Cricetulus griseus: one gene and its partners. The protein of the gene in region 4 purifies or fractionates together with the protein of the main gene of each other region. This does not show direct contact. Links are inferred from orthologs where the notes say so. Each region holds a gene or a part of one and is shown on either strand. Other genes may lie near its edges.

Region 1 (3,500 bases), on a different chromosome or scaffold from region 4:
TTGAGGAGACTTCGGTAGCCAAGGTCTGTTGGCATAGGCTCTATTGGTGGGACAGTCCCTGCCACGGCAGTGGGGGAGAAACATGGATTCACAGGGCCTAGTCCTCTTATGCTGGCCCCTTGCTCTGGGAACAGCTTGGAAAGTAGTAGGCTGCCAGCTGACACCCGGGCCTGCTCTTACCACAGGGCTTATCTGATGCCACAGGCCTCAGTGAAACCTTGAAGGTAAATAGTAGGGCCCTTGGTCTATTCCCACCCTCTTGTGCTCAGCCTGTCCAGAGCAGGTAGGGAGTTACAGAGCCCGGCTCACCTCCGCATCACCCTGAAGCCCCTGATCACATGCAGATCTAAGCAAGCACCGTCCACAACAAACTAGGGACAAACCACGAGCTCCAATGAGGCGGTGGGGATAGGTAGATAGGAAGCCAGACTGCTTCCCTGCCCGTGCACATTCACAGCTCATTTAGAGCTCCTGCTCTAAAAGGGTCACATTCCCAGGCCTCAGGCAAGCAGCTCAGGCGAGATTCCTAAAGAGCTGATGGACCAGACCCCAGGGCAGGGGATCTCACAGCTAGCTAAGGGAGGTCCTTCCTGAAGAAACTGGGGGTTCAAGCCTCCACTGGTCATCCAGTTGTTTCCCAGGGCACCCAGCCATGCAGGGAGGCTCTGGTGCCAGGGGCTGCCCCCTTCTGGATGCCAGGAATGAATTGCTGTGTACAGCTCACAGTAGGTGTGTGCTATCACTGAAGAGAGAACACAGCAGAGTGACGGCTAGGCTGAAGTGTAGTGGGGCAGCACAAGTCCCCACTGGGTTCCTTGGAGGAGGGGGAGTGATCTGCTCAGACCACCTGGGCATGTCCTCCCCTGCTTGGTCACTCTTCTCTGTGAGCCCTGACTGGCCCCGCAGAAGAGCTGTCAACCGTGCAAATGCACCCCCTTCCCCTCATATGTGGAACTGTGACTGGGCAGGGCAGCAAGGCAGCAGCGCTGGATGCCACGTGGCTGAGTCCCTAGCCCTTAACACCAGAAGCGCTCCCCTCACAACTGTGCTTTCCCCGTGAGGCAAGTCGGCCCCTCTCTACCTTCACTCACACCCTTGGCTGCAGCACCCTCAATACTTTCCCATCAGCTTGGACTTGCTGAGGCCGGGGCCCATGCCTGGGTCCCGAGAGAAAAAGGACATGACCACAAGCTGGGAGGGGCAGCTATGGCATCCTGCAGGTTGGCATCCACTGCCACCTAGGAACAAGTCCTCCCGGCCATTCCGGCTGGAGCAGCAGCTGAAGGGCACAGATGCCAGGCAGCATCTCCAGGCCAACCAGTTCCCCAGGGAGCAGAAGGGAAAGTGTGGGGACGGCTCTGTGGGGGAGAGGACTGCCCTGAGTCACTGGGTGTATCTAAGTCCTGGCTGAAAGGCCATCCGTCCCTCTCTGTTTGTCAGGCCTGAGCCACACATCATAGCTAAACAAACAGGAGTGACCAGTCAGCCCAGGGACAGAGTCACCACAGTCATCTCTCTAATTGGGAGTGGTCCTGTGACAATGACGGCTGACATCCACTGATGCTGGGGAGGACCGAGGTGCTTGTCTTCTCTTCTCCTCAGAGGTGGGCTTTCACCCAGACCCCAAGCCTCTCCTTTGGGAAAGAACAGTCACTTCTTTCCCACTCTCCTGAGAGAAACAGCCTGGATACTTTAAAGATTTATTTATGAGACACAGTCTCATGTAACCCAGGCTGGCCTCAAACTCACTATGTAGCCAAGAGCTAAGGATAGCTGAGTGTCTGATCTTCCTGTCCCTACTTCCCAAACTCTGGGACGACAGGCAGGCACTGCCATGACTAGCTTAGATGGCCAATTAAACAAACAAACAAACAAACAAACAAATACCTGTGCGTGCTGAAATTTAAAGTTAGTCATCTATGTAGCTCTAAGATTTTCAAAAAGAACCATTTTCAAAAAGAACCAAAAAGAACTGGGGACATGTACAACACATTTGCAGCACACAGAGGTCCAGGCTCCATTCCCAGCACCACAAAAATAAGTGAACAAAAATACCAAAAGCAAATTCCTCAGCCTGGAAATCTCAAGTCTGAGGTCCATGGGCTGTGCTTTGGCCTAACCAGGCTCCTATGTCATAGGCTCTGCTTTAAGGAACTGGGCTCTGGCAGCTCACTCCAGGCTTGCTCTCTCTGCTTCCTTCTGGTGTGCTGGGAAGGCAGGTCAGGCTGACTTCCGCTCTACCTGGTTCATCTGGGACTGCCCCCCTCCCTGCTCCCTGCTTCCTTCTGCATGCTAATTCTGACAACTGAACAGCTTTGCCTGGCTCCCTGGCAAGGAGTGGGCCTGAGATGGAACTCCCACTACCAAATGCTCGAAGCCCAGGAGGGGGTGAGGGCTGCACACCAGGGTGGGGGTGGGGGGTGGGGAGAGAGGGCAGGATGCCAATGTCAGCCAAGGACCAGCCAATTCTGAATTTGGGGCTTGTTTTGCTCCTGGCCTATCATGTGTCAACTACTGGAAAAACCCAGCTCTGTATAGACCCAAGGATGTGGGGACAGTGCTCAGCTGCTCTGCCAGCTGTGGCTCACAGAGGTTACCTTGTGGGTCGGCTTTCTTGAAAGCGTTGCCTGCGTCCACGAAGCAGGTAGCTGCATCATGCTTGCTCTGGAGCTGTAGGTGCAGCTGGGCAGCCTGGCAGAAAGCGTTCCCGGCAGCTGGAATAGAACAGATCGTCCCAGCTTCAATGCAGTTGCAGTCACTGCCCAGAGAGGCACATTAGGCTCACAATTAGAATACAGGTAGAGGCCAAGATCAGCCCACTCCAGCCCAAAAGCAGCCTGAACCCCTCACAGAGCTTCCTGGTGGTATGCACCTGGTAGAGTGAGGACGTCAGGAAGCAGCCTCGGGGGAAGCCTGAGCCCAGGGGCACAGAAACAGCCAGGTAAACACAGTGCCAAACCCATGTCCCCCCCCCCTCTGCCGGCACCTCCAGAGCCACCACTTCCACAGAGAGGAAGGAAAGACAGACAGAGAGCTGAGGGCTGCAAATACATGAGACATGACACCCAGGCTCTTGGGCTCTTTGAACAGGGAAGCCCAGAACCTGAACTAAAGGTGGGGATGGGGCGATTGGGGGGGGGGGAAGGGATGTGCTCTGGGAAGGCACAGGTGAGATCAACCCATGTGACACTTCCCACTTGCTCCCTTTCCTAGCCCATTTCTGTCCTCCACAACTCCCCAAAGCTCTCAGGTGCACCCCTGCTATGTCTGAGTCCTTGCTAGAAAGGGAAACAGGACGAGGACAGCAAGAGCCAGAGTCCGCGCAGACAGTGCTAATGCCCGAGGCAGCCATGGGCTCCACACCATTTTGCTCAGACCTCCCCTAGACTGGCTAAGGGGAGGCAGCAGGGTTTTCCCTGCTGTGGGTGGTGCTCCAATACCACCTCAGCTAAGGCACTACTTTGCATGCTCCTCCAGTCCCAGCTGAGTGGGAGCCTCCA
Region 2 (3,500 bases), on a different chromosome or scaffold from region 4:
CTCTTCTGTAGGCCTTAAAAATCCATTTATGCTTTTGTAGTTAACATTTTAAATGTTAATGCACATGTTATTTAGGAACGAGAACCTCTTTTCACATTTTATTCATTCCTGTCAGTTTATCCAGAGATACAAATGTATAGGGGAGGGGAGGATGAGAATGAATTGTATTTGTAATTAATATAGTGAAGTTGGACATACTAAACTGGCATATATAGATAGAACTTAGAAGCAAAATAGATGATGTTTAAAATTACAATATGATTTATATCTTTTATTCTACAGTTACTTGTTTCATTACATCTGCCAAGACAGGATTGTGTATCTTTGTATCACTGATGATGTAAGTAACTTGAAGATATATTGCTATTTTACTATGCATACTAATACAGTCAATTATTAATTATCTATACCTATAGTGGCTAAAGATGATAAAAATTTGTAGCTTGAATTTTTTCTGCATTTTGCATTTATTATAAAGAGCATATTATGACAAAGTTTGATACTTGAATATGTATTATTTAGCTCAGTTTTGATAGTTTCTGCTTAATCTCTCTGAAAATTTACTACCCCATACAGTATTTTCAAATTAGCATTTATTATGATTGTTTTTGTTTTTTTAATCATTTTTTGAATCTTTAAAATTTATTCTTGGTTTGCAATATACCCTGACTGTAGTTTCCCCTGCCTCCACCTCCTCTGTTCCCCAGGTTCACTCCTGCTGTTTCCCTTCAGAAAAGAGCAGGCCTCCTAGGGCTATCCACTGAACATAGCGTAACAAGATACAATAAGACTAGCCATAGACCCTCATAACAAGGCTGGGCAAGGCAAGGAAGTAGAAAGAAAAGGGTCCAAGAGCAGATGGAAGAGTCAGTGACTCCCCCATTCCCACTGCTACAAGTCCCACAAAAACACCAAGCTAACAACCATAACATATGTGTAGAGGACCTAGTGTGAATCCATGCAGACTCTGTGGTTGCTGCTTCAGTCCCTGTGAGCCCTCCTTAGTTAATGTCTGTGGGTCATGTTCTCCTGGTATCCTTGGCCCCTCTGGCTCCTACAATTCTTCCTCCCCCTCTTTCCATGTGGTTCCCCAAGCTTCAAAGGGGAGGGACCCAATGGAGAGATCCAATTTGGCCTCTCTCTACCTAATGACTACGATTGTTATAAAAGCTTCTCAAAATGTTGACATTGAATATTAAATTAATTATTTAGTTCCTTCAGTCAATATTTAATAAATTTTTATATATCTGTACTTTAGAAAAACAGTATCATAGTGCATTATGATCAATGTACATGTGTAGTTTACATTGGTTAGGTTGTTTTCTGAGTATTTTGGCTATAAGTCCAGAATGTTCAGTAACTTAATGTCATCAAGAAACATTTTCATTATTCATTGTTAGTTTCTTACAAGTTCCCCTTATGGTTGCATGTAGCTACATGGCTACTTATTTATGTACAAAGAAGAGAGACAGAGGAAAATATGCCCCTCTCTTTTCTTTTGAAGTTAACTCCTTTTCATGCCATAATGGCCATGTGCTATTTCTAAGCTGTTCTCTGATAGAGTCATGGAATTAAATTAACATGATTTCTATAAATCAATGTTCTTAAATTTTCTTGTCACAGACTCCTTTATCCCTTGTGTTTATACCAAGAATGTTGTTAAAGGTATGAACTAGAACACACAGGAGTCTAAACAAAATCAATTCTACTTACATATAACATTCAATATATTTTAAAGGATATACTAATAAATATATTTCTTTATGACTTCATTGAATACCTGGTCATCAGCCTAATAATAATACTTTTGAAATGTTAATGCATGTAAACTATTTCAAAATACCTGTAACTGTGATAGCATATTAATAAATATTTCTGGAGATGACAAGCTATAGGTACTGTTTAATACTCCTTTGTTTTGTTACTTCCATTCAAAATTGAAATTTAACCTAAAGAATGATGAAAATAACAGTGTAATATTTCTTCGTATCCTAATACAAGTGCCCCTAGAATTCTGACCATTGATCCCAGTTCAAGAATCTGTGATGTAGTGGTGGAGTGATGGTTCAGTGAGTGGTTAAGAGCATTGGCTTCTCTTCCAGAGGACCCAGGTTAGAGCCTCAGCAACAACATGGTAGCTCACAAACATCCGTAACTTAGGAGATCTGGCACCCTCTTGCGGTCTCTAAGGCTATGCATACATGTGCTACATAGGCAAAAACACTCCCACACATAAAATAATGAAAAATCCTTGGTTTAAACTAAGTCAAAATGATGTTCAATTACATTGATCATCAAATGATTTTTTCCTCTGGTTTCACAATAAAGTCCAGCTGTATCTGTAAGGACTGATGTGAAATGCTTAAAATCGATGAGAACTGTCATAGAATATCAAATGGTCCAACTTGAGCAGCAAAACTCTTAAGCTGTGGTTTGTTGCATGTGTGCACACACACATATACACAACTTTTTGACTTCTGGTGAGTAGACAGGGTACGTCACTTGACCTTTTCAGATGTATCACTGCTATTAGAAAGTATTAGTTCAAAATCCATATCAATAGCATTATATTTATATATTAAATACCATAATCTTTTTAAAAATCTGTTTTTTATTTTGTTTAGGTGTATGTGTATTTCTATGTGTGAGAATGTCCACAGAGAGCAGAAGAGCAAATCAGATTCCTTGGAGATGGAGTTATAGGCAATTGTGAGCTGTCCAACCTGGATGCTGAGAACCAAACTTGGGTCCTCTCAAAGAGCAACAAGCATTCTTAACTACTGAGCCATCTCTCCAGCCTCCAAACTATACTATTTTTATTGATGTATTGAGCATCTTCTTATGCTAGACCTTGTGATCATGTGAAAGAACTGGAAGAATTGAAAATCAATTCCTGACCCCTGAGTTATTAATCTACATACCATTGTTTTTAGTTTGAATTTGGCTCTCAGCTTTTTAATTTATTAGCTGTTTGACCTGACAAGTTAGTTGTCTTTTTGTAGCTTTTGTTTCTTATCTATGAAGCAGGATCCGTTCTGCTTACTCCTCATGGAGTCAGTCATGAGTCAGTAAACATTATTGTTGTTATTACTAATCTGCCAAATATCTTTGTTTACTTTGTAAATATGAGTACAATATTGGTCACTTTACAGGATTTTGAGCGCTCTCGAGCCTTCAGTTTTCTGAATGAAGTAAAAAAGAGATTCCAAACTACTTACGGTTCAAGAGCACAGACTGCACTTCCATATGCCATGAATAGCGAGTTCTCGAGTGTTTTGGCTGCACAACTGGTAAGATTTTTCTCAGGACATAGTGTTTTAATTTGTATTTTCTTTTTTGTTAAATTCAAGCATCATGGATATAGGGGCCCAGACCTATAGAACACTTTTCTGATTGTGTCACTATAAGCCAACATAATAAAGCTCTCTATTAAAAGAGGTAAAGTGGTCATTTTAGTATAGATAGCTAGTTGGTGATTATTCTCTATTACTAATAGTCAG
Region 3 (3,500 bases), on a different chromosome or scaffold from region 4:
GATATGTATTCATCTCTTACATTATATTGTGGACACCTCAAAGCCTAAAGGACATGCTTTAAATATTATATATTTAAATAATATGATTTATACATATTGTTGAGAAAATGTGTAAGGGCTAGAAAGATGGCTCAGTGTGTAAACGCACATGCTGCCAAGGCTGACACCCTGGACACCATGGTGGAAGGGAAGAAATGACTCCTAGAGGTTGTCCTCTGGCCTCCACTTACTTGTACATGTGTGTGCACATACAATTAAAATAAATGTACTGGGCATGGTGGCTCATGCCTTTAGGGAGGCAGAGACAGGTGGACCTCTGAGTTCAAGACTATGGTTTACATAATGAGTCTATGTAATTCCCCCCTGTTTTTGGAGACAGGTTACTATGTAGCCCTGGCTGGCCTGAAGCTTGCTTTGTAGGCCTGGCTGGCCTTCAACTCAAAGAGATCCAACTGCCTCTGTCTCCTGGGTGCTGGGATTAAAGGTGTATACTACCACACCCAGCCTATACATGTAATGATTTTTTAAAATTTGCTTTATTTTTATTTTATGTGCCTTGGTGTTTTGTCTGTATGTATGTCTGTGTGAGAGTGTTAGATCTTTTGGAATTGTATTACTGTTTCAGACATTTGTGAACTGCCATGTGGATGCTGGGAATCGAACCTATGTCCTCTGGAAGAGCAGCCAGTGCTCTTAACCACTGAGCCATCTCTTCAGCTCATAATGATTTTTTTTTAAAGAGTCAATTATATAATATTGAATTTTCCAAGTATTTTTTAATTTAATAAATAGCACACTTTTCTTCTAAGTACCTGAAAATATCAAGCTGCAAAAATTTTATTAGCTTTTAGTTTGGCTTTCTGTTAAATGGGGTCTATCCCAAAACAGTCTCAAGGAACTTCCTAGGAAGCTGTTTGGTGGCTGAGTCTGTTTTCCTCCATTCATTTACTGCTCCTTTACACAGTTTGTTCTTTGAGAGTGCCCTGGAGAGCTGGTCAGTACACTTCATTGAGTTTGAACCTGCGGATACTTCCCTTGTCTGGAAAAAGTATCCCTAAGTGGAAAAGGCAAAGTGGCCTGTCCTCCATAATTCTGCCTCATCTCAGTTTTGCCTATGACTGAAATTTAATTTTCTTGGTATTACATCCTTGTCTCTGAATTTTGTATTGCTAGTAGAAGAGTTGGGTCCTGGGTAATGTCTGTGTAGTTCCTGCTGTCAGCAGAGATGTAGTTATATCTCCTCGTACCTTAGAGAGAAGGAATCAACTGGAGTGCTTGTCTCCCTGTAGCCATGAGGAGTGGAACCAGATGCAGAGCCAGGAGGATGAGGCGGCCATCACTGAGCAAGACCTGGAACTTATTAAAGAGAGGGAAACGGCGATTCGGCAGCTAGAGGTAAAAGGCAGCCTGTGGCTTTTGTTTGGCTTGGGTGTCTGCAGGTATCTGGAGTGTTTTTGCTGGATTAATATGAAAAGGGCTGGATTGAGTCTTTGTACTTTATATTATCTGTCCCTTTAGTCATGGCAGAATTGAATTACTGCTATGTGCTGCTGGCCCGGGCACTCAGGAGCACCCAGATTCTTCCTCAAACTCCACTTAGCACATGGTCTCCAAGGAAACAGCAAGGCAGATAGTACTGTGTTGTTTCCTAGAACTTTCCTCATCTCAATAGCAGTCTTCAGGTTAAGTAGGATTCTGTGGAAAGCTCCTTTTAATAGGCAGTCCAAAGTTCTTTTGGTTTTGTTTGTTTGTTTGTTTGTTTTTGTTTATTTTTTGGTTTTTCGAGACAGGGTTTCTCTGTGTAGCTTTGGAGCCTATCCTGGCACTCGCTCTGTAGACCAGGCTGGCCTCGAACTCACAGAGATCTGCCTGCCTCTGCCTCCTGAGTGCTGGGATTAAAGGCGAGCGCCACCACCGCCCGGCTAGGCCAAAGTTCTTGCTCTATTTTTGTACATTATGAAGTCCAATTCTGGGTCTAGAGAGAACAACCAGTGGTTACAACACTGGTTGTTCTTTCAAGAGGACCCGTGTTCAATTCCCAGCACCCACATGGCAGCTCCTAACTGTCTGTAACTCCAGTTCCAGGGTACCCAACACCCTTATACAGACATACATGCAGGCAAAACACCAGTGCATATAAAATAAATAAATAGTATAGTGTCCAATTCCAAGTATAGCTCTTGTCACTTCAGTGGATCAGAGTTGGAGCCTTTTTTGATGTGGGATTGAGAGAGAGTTTTGTAGACTGTTCTTGGCTCCCTGAGCTCCACCATGATCAAGGTAACATATAAAAACATTTTTTAAATGCTGTTAAAGGTATGCTCATATGTTGCAGTGTTCTGAATGTGTATTGTCCCAGTTGGTGGAATGTTTAGGAGGTGTGCTTTAAACTTTAAAAAATTTTAAATTTAGTTTATTGTTTATTTATTTTGTTTATGGGTGCTCCACTTAGCGCACTCCACTTAGGGGATCAGAAGAGGGAGTCAGATCCCTTGGGATTAGAATTCTGGGTAGTTGTGAGCTGCCTTGTGTGTGTGTGTGCTGGGAACCGAACCTGGGTCCTCTATAAGAGCAATAATTGCTCTTAACCGCTGATTCATGTCTCCAGGCTCTAAAAGAAAGCATTTAATTGGGAGCTTGCTTACAGTGTCAAATGATGAGTCCATGACCATCATGACGGGGAGCATGGCAATAGGCAGGGAGGCATGCCATTGCAGCAGTAGCTGAGAGCTTACATCTGATCCACGAATTGGAGGCAAAGAGAGAGTGAGACTGGGCCTGGCGTGGGCGCTTAGAATCGCAAAGCCCACTTCCAGTGAAACACCTCCTCTAACAAGGCTTTACCTCCTGATCCTTCCTAAATAGTCCACCAACTGCGACAATACTCAGACCACACACCCTATGAGCATACTTTTAACAGGCTAATCCCTTGCTCTTCTGCCTGACATGTGGCAGGCCATAGCTTATTACCTATGAGTAAGCAAAAACCTGAACCTGGAGAATCTTATTTCCATCACCGCCAGGAAAACTGCAGTTTAGCTCACCAAGCTGACTTGTCGTTAAACTTTTTCAGTCAGCTGCAGGTTTCCAAATGCTGTTGTCCTTTCACCCTACCAACTCTTCTCCACCGTCTAAGCTCTTTGTCAGTCAGTTGAAAGCTGTTTATATGGAGCATCATCCCAGTGACAATAGAAGCCAGTAGTCCTCACATAGATCCGGAATCAGTCCTGGGGGAACCAGCCCCTGGGTTGTGTGTCTTCCACTTGTTCCCCAGGCAGCACAGTCCTATAGAAGCCATTTGAATTCTCTGGTCTAAAGTCCTGGTGGTCACTGAAATTGGTCTGCTCCACGTAGAGCTGTGACACTGAGCACACTCCAGCACTCCAGTTTAGGCCTGAATGATCTTACTAGTTCTCAGGTAACATGTGCCGTTAGTTTTTTTGATGGGTGGGTTTCATGCCATCTGTTGTACAATATTAAGTAAACAGTAATAGAAGGTT
Region 4 (4,239 bases):
GGCAGAGTTCTGTGAGTTCAAGGCCAGCCTGGTCTACACACACACACACACACACACACACAGAGAGAGAGAGAGAGAGAGAGAGAGAGAGAGAGAGAGAGAGAGAGAGAGAGAGAGAGAAGAAAAGAAAATGTTGTGCCAGGTTCAAGGAGTCCCATACCAATCCCAGGAGTAGACACTGATGCAAAAGCAAAAGGTTTGTTTTTATTGTTCAAGCTGGCCAGCTTGGATCTCACTCCATGGTGGGGAAATGAGACGCCAACAAGCCAAAGAGAGAAGCTTTTAAAGGAGCAGACCGTAAGGTTGAAGTAACTTAACGAAACGTCTCAAACTTTTTTAAAAAGTGAATAAAGGCATAGCTCAGTGCACGAGACTCAATCACCAGCATCAGAAAGAAGAAAAGTGTTTAACTTGGGCTGGGGATGTGGCTCCAGGTCCTACAGAGAGAACTTTGTTGTGAACTTCACAAGCACTTCAGAGACAGTGTCACCCCTAACCCTAGACTCACATATACATCAATATGCATCATTCAGTATATTCAGGTATAGGTATGTGTATGAAAAAGAGCAGGTGGTTAATATATATTATATATGTTTTTTTGGGGGGGGTGTTGGAGGCAGGATTTCTTTGTGGCTTTGGAGGCTGTCCTGGAACTAGCTCTTGTAGACTAGGCTGGTCTCAAACTCACACAGATCTGCCTGCCTCTGCCTCCTGAGTGCTGGGATATAAGGTGTTTGCCACCACCACCTGGCTTATATATAAAATTTTTTAAAAAGAGAGGCAATAAGGAAAATAGTCCTAGCCCCGGATTCCCCACATTTTACTTGTTTGCCTTCACACTATCAGCTATGAAGACAGGAGCTTAGTCTTGCTCTGTAAGGGCAGATCAAACATATAAAATCCATAACACAATTCCATCAAATACGAGACCTAAATTAAGTACCTCTGGAGTTAGGATGGGAGACATTACTGATGTCAGAGGTGCTCAGATTGGCTGGGCTGCAAGAGGACATCTTGGGCTGACTTCCAGACTAAAGCAGATTTCCATACTGGAAGGAGGGGTGAAATCTAAACACCATGGAAAGCACAAGCACAGAAGAATTGAAGAAAGCATGCCTGACCAAGTACTGGCCCTGTTAGCAGGGTACATTTAAATAGGACAGATTAGCAGAGGTCAGTTTCTACAGAACTTGGCACAGTAGTCTAATGAGATCTGACTCAGGGGAATTTTACCCCAAGACACTGAAGCATTAGAACTCTTTTACTGTTAGTCTCAATTGTTTTACTCAGTGGCTTTCTCATTTGACAGTTGAAAGCTTTCTTGTGTTGCTGGTGACCAAACTCAAAGCCTTGCATGTAGTAAGTTCTACCACTGAGAAAAACTGAAATATATGAACATTCAGATGATGTACTGATATGCATGTAAAAATCATTTTTAAATACTACTTAATGATATGGAGACACGCTTCCTGTTGTGTAAAATACAAGCAGGATATAGATTCAAACAATAAAAGTCTTCAAAAGAAGTTAACATTGGTTCTTTCCAAATGATGAAGATGCTATTTATTTTCTTTCCTGCAGATACTCAGTAGTCTCCAAATTTTCTACCAGGGGTGTACACAATTGTTGAAACTTGTGTGTGGGGGGGAGTAAGAAGTGTTAAATTCAGCAATTTCCTGGGCATGGTGGCTGCATGTAATCGAACCACTTAGACTGAAGCAAGAGGATCAGGAATTTAAGGTCAGACTGGGCTCTCTGAGACAATGGAAACAAAGCACACAAACAAATGAAAGCCCAAGAAAATTTCAGCAACTAGCCCAAATATCTCAAATCCCAGGTAACTCTAACTCTGACCTTGGGATCCACTCTCCTAATACTTAAAATTGTCTGCCATCAAACAATTATAAACTGTACCAGAAACACCCACATAAGGCATATCCTCCAACAAGAACTTTATAGAAATACAATGTTATAAATTATTAAACAGGAAGGTCAAGACTGTATAGCAATGTGTTCCTTGTGTGAACACATTTTCTTCATTCTTTCCTTGGGGCTTCATTGCTGAATAAATGGCCCTTATCGGGTGCTGACTTTTGCACTAGTTCTTGCTGACGTTAAGTCTTCATGATACTGACACAGGAAAGGGTAAACTGCCTATCACAAGTGCAAACTTCCCTCCCAGATTGCTACAAGTCTTATTGTGAAGAGCCCATTACACCTATGCCCAGCTAACTACTAACTGGCTGGGGACCATGGAGTCTGAACCTCAGTTTCTTCCCTTTCTGGGGATTAATGGGTGAAGGCAGAGACATCCCACCAAAAGGTTATTTCTACTTCACTTTTACAGGACCCCAGGGGAGTCTACACACGCAGTCATCCACAGGCAGGTTAGGCGAGAAGCCCCCACAGAAGGCGGGGGAAAATATCGATTCTGCTCAAGTCCCAGCTCCCCCAGGTCACGGTGTCCCCCTCCGACCACCGAGTTAGCGCCGGGGAGGCGGGATGTGGTTGGGTCCCCAAAACAGGGAAAGGATCCTCACCCGCTTTGCTCACCCCTAAAAGCTGACAGCCTCAAGTTCAACGATGGCCAGGGTTTATGCGAATCCCTGGGAGCCACTTCCACCCCAAGTCCTACGGCAAACTACTGCCAACACCAGCAACTCACCAGGGGTCCGGGGCCATGGTGCAGTCTCCGCCTGCAGCTGGGACACTTCCTGCTCACAGCAGCTGACTACGGCGGCCCGCGCGGCTCATTCCCCGCAGTTCGGAAGGTGCGCGACCCGAGCCCAGCGGACAGCACAGAAAACATATTTTAGGGGCCTCAAAACCACACCAACCAAAGCTCACCCCTGGGAGACAGTGGATTGCAACAATCGATTTTTAGTTAATTCGTACGAACTGCTGGACGCAAGGAAAATGGTTAAATTGTTGAGCAGAATCAAAACCTTTTCCCAGGGATGGAAGCGCTTCAGACTCCGGCTCTCGTAGTTCTTCGCATTTTTTTTTTTTCTTTTTTTCTGATTCAAAAACAACAGAGCAAGCCGGCTGTGATACCTCGCGCCTGAATTTGCCGTGCTTGGAAGGTTGAAGCCGGAAATATTCATACAAGCAACGTTCATAGTGATACATACATGAAAATAGTTGCATACTGTACTTAAATTTTTAAAGTGATCTTTTCAAAAAGAATTCTTTTACAAGGAGGTATCAATTCCGTGTTTTGTTTTGTTTTGTTTTTTAATAGCAGCCTACGCATCAGAGGCAATTCTCTGTGTTCAATTACTTTTAATAGTTACCATAAGAGGCTTAATTTTATAGTTAAGACAAAAGTCAGAGTTTACACGGGAGACGAGGGAATTCATTCTGCATATTCAGTATTCACCTAACACCTAAATTTCTAGAATGAGTGAAAAAAATAATAAGGAAGCCCTCCCTACATTTACAAAAAGGTAAATAAAGTCGAACTCAGTGGGCTGGATTTCTGCTCCAGCGTAAACCTAGCACGCATGCGTGCGCCAGTTACCATAACGACCAAAAGACGCTGCAGCCAGGAGTTGAGGAATCAATGAGTTGAAATTCTCCAAGATGGAAGAACAAAATTTACCCGAAACCGAGACCGACGTAGCCGAACTGGAGCTTGAGGCTGTGATCGGCTTCAATGGTGAGGCCTGGAGCATCCATAATACCCCAGGGACAAGTGAGACACTGACTTGGTGGCACCTGAGAGGCCGTGGGGACAGTGGCAAGAGCCTAGCCAGGCATCACCCACGGTGATGAAGGATCTTAGCCTCATTCCCGAGCCTCAGAAATTGGAATGTGCCTAACTCAGTCTCTCTCTCTCTCTCTCTCTCTCTCTCTCTCTCTCTCTCTCTCTCTCTCTCTCTCTCTCTCTCTCTCTCTCTCATACGCGCACACACACGCACCCCTGGGAGCAGTCCTTGGCTCTGAATATTCCCCCAACCCCCACCCCCATGCATCCCCGGGTAACACCCAACCTGGGGCAAACAAACAAACAAACAAACAAACAAAAAAACACCTTTCCACACCCCTTGCTGATCTACAGTTGAGAAAGGCCTTAGGTGGAACTGCTCTAGGGGTGCTCTGTGTCCTCTGTCCCAAGTAAGGACTCTCAAAGGTTTAAAAGACAGGGATGGGAGGGAAGAGGACGTAAAGGGAGACCGCCAAGGGAGAGTCCTTGTTGATTCTGGAGAGGCCTGGCCGCTGTCATTACTTGTGGCTGTC

What was found.
Region 1: the proteins of Stx8 (region 4) and Napa purify together in Homo sapiens (affinity purification with mass spectrometry; 4 studies listed by BioGRID and IntAct, with this or other methods). This does not show direct contact. The link is inferred for Cricetulus griseus from reciprocal best matches to the Homo sapiens genes STX8 and NAPA.
Region 2: the proteins of Stx8 (region 4) and Vamp7 purify together in Homo sapiens (affinity purification with western blotting; 3 studies listed by BioGRID and IntAct, with this or other methods). This does not show direct contact. The link is inferred for Cricetulus griseus from reciprocal best matches to the Homo sapiens genes STX8 and VAMP7.
Region 3: the proteins of Stx8 (region 4) and Stx12 purify together in Homo sapiens (affinity purification with mass spectrometry; 3 studies listed by BioGRID and IntAct, counting the BioPlex papers as one, with this or other methods). This does not show direct contact. The link is inferred for Cricetulus griseus from reciprocal best matches to the Homo sapiens genes STX8 and STX12.

The regions. Positions count from the first base shown.
Region 1 is NC_048602.1:10,772,293-10,775,792, reverse strand, and holds part of Napa (alpha-soluble NSF attachment protein), read right to left. Parts: intron 2,715-3,500; coding exon 2,598-2,714; intron 1-2,597. UniProt on the Homo sapiens protein: Required for vesicular transport between the endoplasmic reticulum and the Golgi apparatus. Together with GNA12 promotes CDH5 localization to plasma membrane.
Region 2 is NC_048604.1:48,804-52,303, reverse strand, and holds part of Vamp7 (vesicle-associated membrane protein 7), read left to right. Parts: intron 1-282; coding exon 283-340; intron 341-3,152; coding exon 3,153-3,290; intron 3,291-3,500. UniProt on the Homo sapiens protein: Involved in the targeting and/or fusion of transport vesicles to their target membrane during transport of proteins from the early endosome to the lysosome. Required for heterotypic fusion of late endosomes with lysosomes and homotypic lysosomal fusion.
Region 3 is NC_048595.1:20,412,087-20,415,586, forward strand, and holds part of Stx12 (syntaxin-12), read left to right. Parts: intron 1-1,289; coding exon 1,290-1,395; intron 1,396-3,500. UniProt on the Homo sapiens protein: SNARE promoting fusion of transport vesicles with target membranes. Together with SNARE STX6, promotes movement of vesicles from endosomes to the cell membrane, and may therefore function in the endocytic recycling pathway.
Region 4 is NC_048600.1:81,830,588-81,834,826, reverse strand, and holds the start of Stx8 (syntaxin-8), read right to left. Parts: upstream 2,801-4,239; 5' UTR 2,683-2,800; coding exon 2,666-2,682; intron 1-2,665. Other genes in the region: Cfap52 (cilia- and flagella-associated protein 52), read left to right, coding at 3,583-3,658. UniProt on the Homo sapiens protein: Vesicle trafficking protein that functions in the early secretory pathway, possibly by mediating retrograde transport from cis-Golgi membranes to the ER.